Canis lupus familiaris: one gene and its partner. The protein of the gene in region 2 interacts with the protein of the main gene of each other region in a pairwise test. Links are inferred from orthologs where the notes say so. Each region holds a gene or a part of one and is shown on either strand. Other genes may lie near its edges.

Region 1 (4,178 bases), on a different chromosome or scaffold from region 2:
GAGATATATATTATTATTCATATATATTAAAATACACACACATTACTTTTAAGCTATAGAAATGTAACTACAGTAATCTCAGAGAAAAGATGAGAAGCGCCTATAAGTTCACCATATAGGAGGCAGGTCTGCTCTGATCACCATTTCCCAGGGATCATGTTCCCATTTTTCATTGCACTTGACTTTCAGTCCTCAATAAGTCCTAAAAACTCGAAGGTACCAAGAAGAAGGCCAACTTGAAAACCATTTGTAGCTATGGGACATTTTTATATCCACTGGGTGAGTCAGTAACAATCACTACTAGGTTGGATAGGTTATTATTCTCAAAACATCTGATAATCATTCCATTAGCTAAAAGAAAACAGACATTCAGGTTATATATTGAAATTATTCCTTCTACTAAGAAAGTCAATGAGGCATAAAGGGGTTAAACACCATTTCCATTGTTTTATAATTTAGTAGTTGAAAACCAGGACTGGGCTGCTCTTCACAGTTTTAATCAGTTGTTTATCCATTAATTCTACTTGGAAATCTTCAATTTTATTTTCTATAGCATTTCTGAAACTTGGAAGTATATTTTTGAACAGTCACATTAGAGTAATAGGAAAATGAGCCTGAACTCCTGAGAGGCAGGTGTCCTGTCTCTTTCGGTGGTTTTTGCTATAAAAAGAGCTAAGGCTAATGCTGAATTTGTGTGTACTCAGAAATAAACCACGAAATAAGCATACCGGTATTCATTCAGCTGTAAGTGGCTCTTAACTTCAGCGCCATCAAAAATATTTATTTGCCCATAGATGAGTCTAACTGTGATAAAGACTACAAAAACTTAGGAAAACAAGATCTCCCACTTTGCCTGAGAAGTTAAGCATATGAAATGTTAATTGAATAACTGGTGTTTGCTATTTTTAGTAGTTTGTTTAACCAGCCATCAAAATAAATTATTTGTAATTAAAGTGATAACTGGTACTTTTTTCAAATCAAGCAAGAAATATATGAAAACACCAACTGTGTGTGGTCTCTCTTGAATCTGGTCATAGCATACCTTTGTGGCTTTTCTCAAGATATGAGACATGGAAACAGGCATTAAGATGCCCAAGAATTGACAGGTAGGATAGTCTGAAAACCGTAAACGGCACTTAACTCAGCTTTCCCCAAGAAACATTATGGTGCTTGCTATCAGGTCGGTTGGCTTTTTTAGTCAGAACTAGCCCCAAACCTATTTTTTTTTCCATAAATGAACAACATAATACATCAATAAAAAGACAAATACCCAACGTGTAAAAAAAAAAAAAAAAAAAAAAGACAAAAAATCCAATTAAAATATATGCAAAGAATTTGAATAGACAGGTCTCCAAAGAAGCTATTCAAATAGCCAATAAGCACATGAAAAGATACTCCATATGATTAGTCATTAGGTCAATGTGAATCAATACCACTTCACACCCTCTAGAATGGCTAAAATAAAAACCAGCCAATACATGATCACAAGTGTTGGTGAAGATGTGTAGAAACTGGAACCCTCACACAGTGCTTGGCAGAATGTAAAAGGAAGCAGCTACCGGGCAAAAAGTCTGGCAGTTCCTCAAAAAGTTAAACACAAAGACACCCAAGAGAAATGAAAGCATATGCCCACATAAAAACGTGTACACAAATGTTCATGGCAGCATTATTCACAAGGCCAAAAAGTGGAAACATCCGGGATTGTCCATCAAGCGATGAATGGATAAACAATATGTGATATTATGGTACAGCAATACAATGGAATATTACCTAGGCATAAAAAAAGAATAAAGTACCAGTACAAGCTAGAACATGGATAAACCTTGAAAGCATTTTTCTATGTGAAGGAAGCCAGACACAAAAAGCACATGTTGTATTAGTCCTTTTATATGAAATTTCCAGAATAGGCAAATCCATAGAGAAGGGAAAGTAAATTACCGGCTGCCAGACGATGGGGTAGGGGTGAAATGAGAAATGACTGCTAATGGGTCCAGGGTTTCATTTTGAGATGAAAACGCTCAGGATAGTGCTGATAGCTGCAAAACTTTGTGACTAAAGTAAAAGCCACAGTTTAAAAGGGCAAATTTTATGGTATGCGCATTATATCTCAATTAAAAAAAAAAAACAAACCAAGCTTGCACGTACAGAAAGAGGACGTATATGTGCAACATGTCTGTAAATGGAATATACATCATTACATACGAACGTATCATCTCTTCCTGTAGATGAACGTTTGGGGTATTGTTTTAATTGAGATATATTTTACTTAAAGAAAGGAATGGAAGGCGGCAGCGACCCGGAGCAGTGCCGCGCCCCGAAGCGGTGGGGCCGGGGTTGCCGAGCCCGCCCCGCGGCGTCTGCATCCGCGCTCCCCTCCCCTCCCCTCCCCGCCCTCGGCCACCCCCAACCCCGCCCCGCCGCGCCCCCTCCCCGCCGCCGCCCAGGGCCAGCCGCAGGCGCGGGGGCCGCGGGGGAGGGGGCTCCGCGGGGGAGGGGGCTCCGCGGGGCTGGGGGCTCCGCGGGGCTGGGGGCTCCGCGGGGCAGGGGGCGGCTGCTCCCCGCCGCCCGGCCCTCCCGCGCCCCTGCCGCAGAGGGCCCGGCCGGGCGCCCCCACCTCCCTCCGGTACCTGGGATGCGCCCGAACCCCGCGCCGCGGCCACGGCGCAGACTTCCCCTCCATTATCACCTGCCCCGGAGCGCGGCCGCGCCGGCCCGGGGGAGGGGGGACCCGGGCGGGGCGGGGGATGGAAGGAGCGTTCGTTCACCTAGTCCCCCGCGGCGGCGTGGCGGCGGCCCCGGGCCGCGGCTCCTTCCTGCTCGCGCGCCTCCTCGCGCCCTCGCGGCCCTGCGCTGACAGCCCCGGAGCCGGCGCCCGCGGCCCGCGCGCTCCCCGCCGCCGCCCCCGCCCCCGCCCCCGCCCCCGCCCCCGCCCCGCGCACGCGCAGCCGCGCCGCCGCCTCGGGGGAGGCGAGAGGCTGCTGATGTGGCCGCGGGGGCGGCGACCTGGAGCGCGAGCGCCGCCCCGCCCCGACCCCCGGCCGCACCCTGCAAGCCGCGGGCCTGGGGTGGGGGCCGGATGGAGGAGCGGACGCCGGAGTCTCCAGGGAACCCGGGGCGGGGCGGGGCGGGGCGGGGCGGGGGCTCGTCATCCCCGCAGCCCGACGCCCATCCACATCGCCAGCTGTTCCTAGGTCCGAACCCCCGAATCTATGACTCATGATTTCTGTGCTCAGACCGGGGCCTCCTGGTGGCTGGGCTCGTGTTTCCTTCTCGCAGACGGGAATTAAAACCAAGGCGTATGTAACTCTGTGCCTGGCTGTCTGCAGAGCAGCGCAGGAACAGCCGTGTAGCTGCGCTTGGCCGAGGTCGAAGAGGGTGGGGGTGGGGGCGGGGGCGGGGACCAGGACCACTAAGGGGATGGGATGTAGGGCGGCCCCCAGCACCTTCCCAGGGGGAGAGGGGTGTAGGAGCCAAGTGCGCGGGTGCAGTGCAGGTGGCTGGGATACTAAGACTTTTCAAGTTCGCCACCATCTAGGTAAAAGTGACCAAAATTTGCCACGTAAAGCCGAGAACTCTTACCTAACAACTATTGAGCACCTTTTGTATGACTCAGGTAATGGCCCATGCCTGGGGGACATTCCAGTGACCAAAACAAAGGTGTCCGTCCTCAGGCATTTATTCTGAAAGATGTCATTTTAAAAATTACAGAGCTAGTGGCACTCTTTTTCCTCAGATCAAAGCTTCCATCAATTCTAAGTCACACCAGTGATTTAGTAGCAGCTTTTCAGGTGCTAAGGGACACTGGATCGTACATTTACCCAGGTTTTTGTTTTTCTGCTTCGCAATCAGATTGCGTTTTGACCTTAACCTTCTGGGTGAAGTGTGCTTTCATATCAATCTTGACCATCTACGGTTATGCTTTTTATAATGGTGAATGCAGGTGTTCTTCACAATCTAAACACCATTAGGAATGAAAGGATAATTGCAAAGAATATGGAAAAACAGTGTTTTGACCATATTTCCAAGTGGATTTTGTTCTTACTGTTCTGAATTACATTTCACTAGGAGGTAAGTTTGCCAGAAGTAAAATTCCAACTGGGTAAGTGTTCGTCCCCTGGGTCACGTAGTCTTCCAAGACTTCTGCACAAGGTTTGAATTGGACAAACCACCCTCTCTCA
Region 2 (3,644 bases):
GTGGGTATTTGCATTATGCAAAAACTAATGCACCTGATACTAAGATGTGTCCACTTAACTGTATGGTTCTAATTTTAGTACATGTGCTGATGAAGCGAGCATGTCCATTTATATTTGTTACATCTCAATTAAAACTCAACCAAAAAAAAAAAAAACAACAACAAAAAAAAAACAAGCAATAAAATCTCCCAAAGCTCCCATTATCCTGAGGAGAAAACCAGTGCTCCTCAGGCTGGCATTGGAGGGGCCTATTTTTCTACGGTTTTATTTTCCTTAAAAAAAATAATTTAATGAATTTTTAAAATATTTTATTTGAAAGAGCACACAAACATGGGGGGAGGGGCAGAGGGACAAACAGACTTCCTGCTGAGTGGGGAGACTGAGGTGAGGTTCCATCCGAGGACCTCGAGATCATGACCTGAGCAGAGGTCAGATGCCCCTACAGCTTTATCTTCTAAGGTCTAATTGTGGCACATGGATGAGCAGTTAGTGATGAGTGAACAAATGGCACACTGGTCCATCTCCTGCCAGCTGTTTGCACTGCAGTGGACATCTGTGATGTGTGCAGGACCCACATGTATCTCTCCCTCTTTCTGCCAGGAGAGGAAAGAGGTGCTCTGTCTCCCAGCCTCTCTTGCAGCTAAGAGTGGTCACAATAAACACTTCCAGCCAATGAGACAGAAACACGGCTCTGCGGTTGGCTCTGGGAAGGCTACTGGTTTTCTTTATAAACAAAGGGACATGTCCCCTTCTTCCTGCAGATGTGACACATGAAGCTATGTCTGCCACCTCCTGATCAAGAGGAAGGGCCAGGAGGATGATAAAGAATCCCAGCTCCCTTGACCCCCAGGCTGTGGAGATCCAGAGCTGTGGACCCACAGTTCTTCTCCAGGCTGGTTTCAAAAATAAGCCCCTAGCATTTAATCCATTATTGGGTGTGTTTTGGTATTGTTAAGAATTGTGGTCACTGATGTTAAAAAAAAACAAAAGACTTCACATAAAAACCCAATACAGGGGTGTGTGTCCTGGAGCACTGTATCTGGGGTTCCGGGACCTGGGTCCTCCCAGGTCATGGTGGCACAACAATGGTAATAACAGTAGGAAGAGCCCCCGAGGATTCTCTGCCTAGGCCTTGCTCTGAGCGCCTCACACTGGAGGAGGCTGGAGGTAGCAGAGCTGGAGGTGGGGCCAGGTGGGGGGCGGGGACTGGCCCAGCAGCAGGATGGAGAGCAGGAGCAGCAGCAGCAGGCCCAGGACGGGTACCGGAATCAGCGGGTGCCGAGGGACCCTGGTGGGAGGCAGTCCAGTGTTTAGCAAGGTGCAGGGGATGCTGGTGGTGTAGAGCCCCACCGTGTGACTGCCACTCTCCTTCTGGAGACGTTCTGGGGCGCACCTGAGAGGCTGGTGGTACATGGTGGGCAGGCAGAGTTGGCCGTGGACCTGGCCCCAGACTGGCCTCCTGACTGGGACCAGCTCTTTTACCACAGGCACCAGGGCTTGCTGCAGCTCTGGTTCAGCAGGGCTGCTGGACAGAAAGGAGAGCAGAGCAGTCATGCTGGACCCTTCCTGTGCCTCCAAGTCCCTTCCAGTCCCCACAGGTCCCTGTTTACCTCTCAGGAGGGCTTCCTGGGATGTCTCCAGGATGAGGGTCCCCCAGAGGGATAGGCAGACTGTCCTGGAGGGACAAAGGAGACAAACTTGGAACTCTCAGGTCTTGGATTGGGAGAGGCCCTTGGTTCAGGCCACTGAACCAGGACAGAAGTGACCACATGGAAAGGGGTGGAACACAGTGAGACAGCCTGCCGGGTTGGGTTCTCAGTTCTGCCAGCTTCCAGCTGTATGCCCCGTAGGTCACCCCACATCTCCATGGCCCACTTGCCTTACCTGCTGGACAGGGTCCATGACAGTACCCTCCTCACAGGGCTGAAGCGGAGTCTGCAGAAGGGAATGCAGGTAAAAGCCAAAAAGCCAGAGGGCTCTCAGAGCAGAGCCCTGTGCCTGGCACACAGTGGGCACTCCATAATTATGTGAGCTGTTCAATACTACTATTTCCATTTGCATCTGATTCTGGAAGTATCCAAGCTCCGTGGGGGCAGAGACCCCATCTTCTCCATGAGTCTAACCCTGTACTGGGCCTAGTCCAGTGTGGGCACGCTCTCTGCCTGCATCAGAACCTGCAGGTGCTTTAAGATGAAAGCCCCAAATATTCCCTCCAGGGGCCACCTCATCCCCCATGTCTCTCTGAAAGGGCACCCCCTGTGTTGGTCTCAGGCTTTCCCACCCACATCTTCGTCCCATGGATGCTGATGATGGCAGTAAAAGCAATAATAAGGAATCACAGGACCACCGGACCCTACTGAATCACAGCCCCTACCTTCACCACTGCCACCTACCTACTGTGTGCCTGCTCTGTGGGGGGGGGGGCATGGGGGCTTTCACATGGCCCTTAGCCCTCCCCGCCCCCACTCTGATACTAGGGAGAAATCATGGTCAAGTCAGCTTGGAGGAAACTGAGGTGGGGCCCAGTATCCGTAGAGGGGAGTGGGAGGTGGGCTTTGCGGTCAGGCTGCTCAGAGAGACCATCTTGGATGCTTTGGACTCCAAGCGGCCTGGATGCCCGGCAAATACCTGGGATCCCACATTCCCATCCTGAGGACTTATGGGCTCCCTGTCTCTCCTCTCTGAGCTTCACTCCCTTTCCCAGCCTGAGAATGAGACTGGTACCTGCACCTCACCCTGCTGCTTGGAGGCGCAAAGCTGCTGGTGTGTGTGGTGCCAGGAGGGAGAGCCATGACAGGTGTGTGCCCCAGGGAGTTCTGGGGTTGGCTGGGGAGGGCCCAGCCCCTTCCTGTGTGTGGGTGCATGTGCGTGTGCATTTTCGCATTCCGGGGGTGTAGCCACGTCTGTGAGGCCTGTGGCTTAGCGGCTGCCGCCCCATGTATGCGCTTGGGGGGTCCCCTGGGAACATTCTGGCCGCCCACTGGCCTGCAGGCCTTCCCCCACGACGCTGTCCGCTCTCATTAGCTATAGCAAGGGCCTTGTTATCTCTTGGCCAAATGATTTTTCTGTCTGCTCAAGAGAAGTGGGAGTGTGGGTGAGGGCTGGGAGGAGCTGTCACTGCATCACCCTCCTCAAGGGCCTGGAGTGGGTGGGGACTGCTTACCATGGTCTGGGGCTCTACTTCCTCCTCATTCTCGCTTCTGGGCAACCTGAGGGGACAACAGAGTCATACTGCTTGGCTTGGCTCCCCTTCGCCCACCGTGGAGCTGTATGAACCTTTAAAGCAGGGGTTCTTAAATGGATGGGTCTGGAGGTGTCCTCCCATGAGGAAACTGCTGTGTGTAGGTCAGTGTGCATATTTCACAGGGGAATTTTCAGCAAAAGAGTGTGTGACCCCCCAAAGGGTAAGAGGGTCTCTTGATCAAACCGGTTTTCTCTTCTGCTGTTTTCCAGCTGATGCCCTAGCTAGGAGCTGAGGCTTCTGCTCAATTACTCTCCCAAACAAGACTCAGAGTTTCTCTGGGACTCTAGGGCAGGGGTGGACTCCACCCCCCACTTTATGCCTGCGGGGCGGGGGTGGGGGTGAGGTTTGTGTCTTTTTCAGTGAGTCTCAGGTTTATTGAGTCTTCTTTTAGGACCAAGAT

Evidence for each region.
Region 1: the proteins of KASH5 (region 2) and SLC41A2 interact in binary tests that used the Homo sapiens proteins (3 or more experiments, as listed by UniProt). The two-hybrid records come from large-scale screens. The link is inferred for Canis lupus familiaris from reciprocal best matches to the Homo sapiens genes KASH5 and SLC41A2.

Annotation. Positions count from the first base shown.
Region 1 is NC_049231.1:34,451,983-34,456,160, reverse strand, and holds the start of SLC41A2 (solute carrier family 41 member 2), read right to left. Parts: upstream 2,860-4,178; 5' UTR 2,766-2,859; intron 1-2,765. UniProt on the Homo sapiens protein: Acts as a plasma-membrane magnesium transporter. Can also mediate the transport of other divalent metal cations in an order of Ba(2+) > Ni(2+) > Co(2+) > Fe(2+) > Mn(2+).
Region 2 is NC_049222.1:107,750,003-107,753,646, forward strand, and holds the end of KASH5 (protein KASH5), read right to left. Parts: intron 3,210-3,644; coding exon 3,164-3,209; intron 1,936-3,163; coding exon 1,885-1,935; intron 1,676-1,884; coding exon 1,611-1,675; intron 1,526-1,610; coding exon 1,394-1,525; intron 1,289-1,393; coding exon 1,147-1,288; 3' UTR 292-1,146; downstream 1-291. UniProt on the Homo sapiens protein: As a component of the LINC (LInker of Nucleoskeleton and Cytoskeleton) complex, involved in the connection between the nuclear lamina and the cytoskeleton.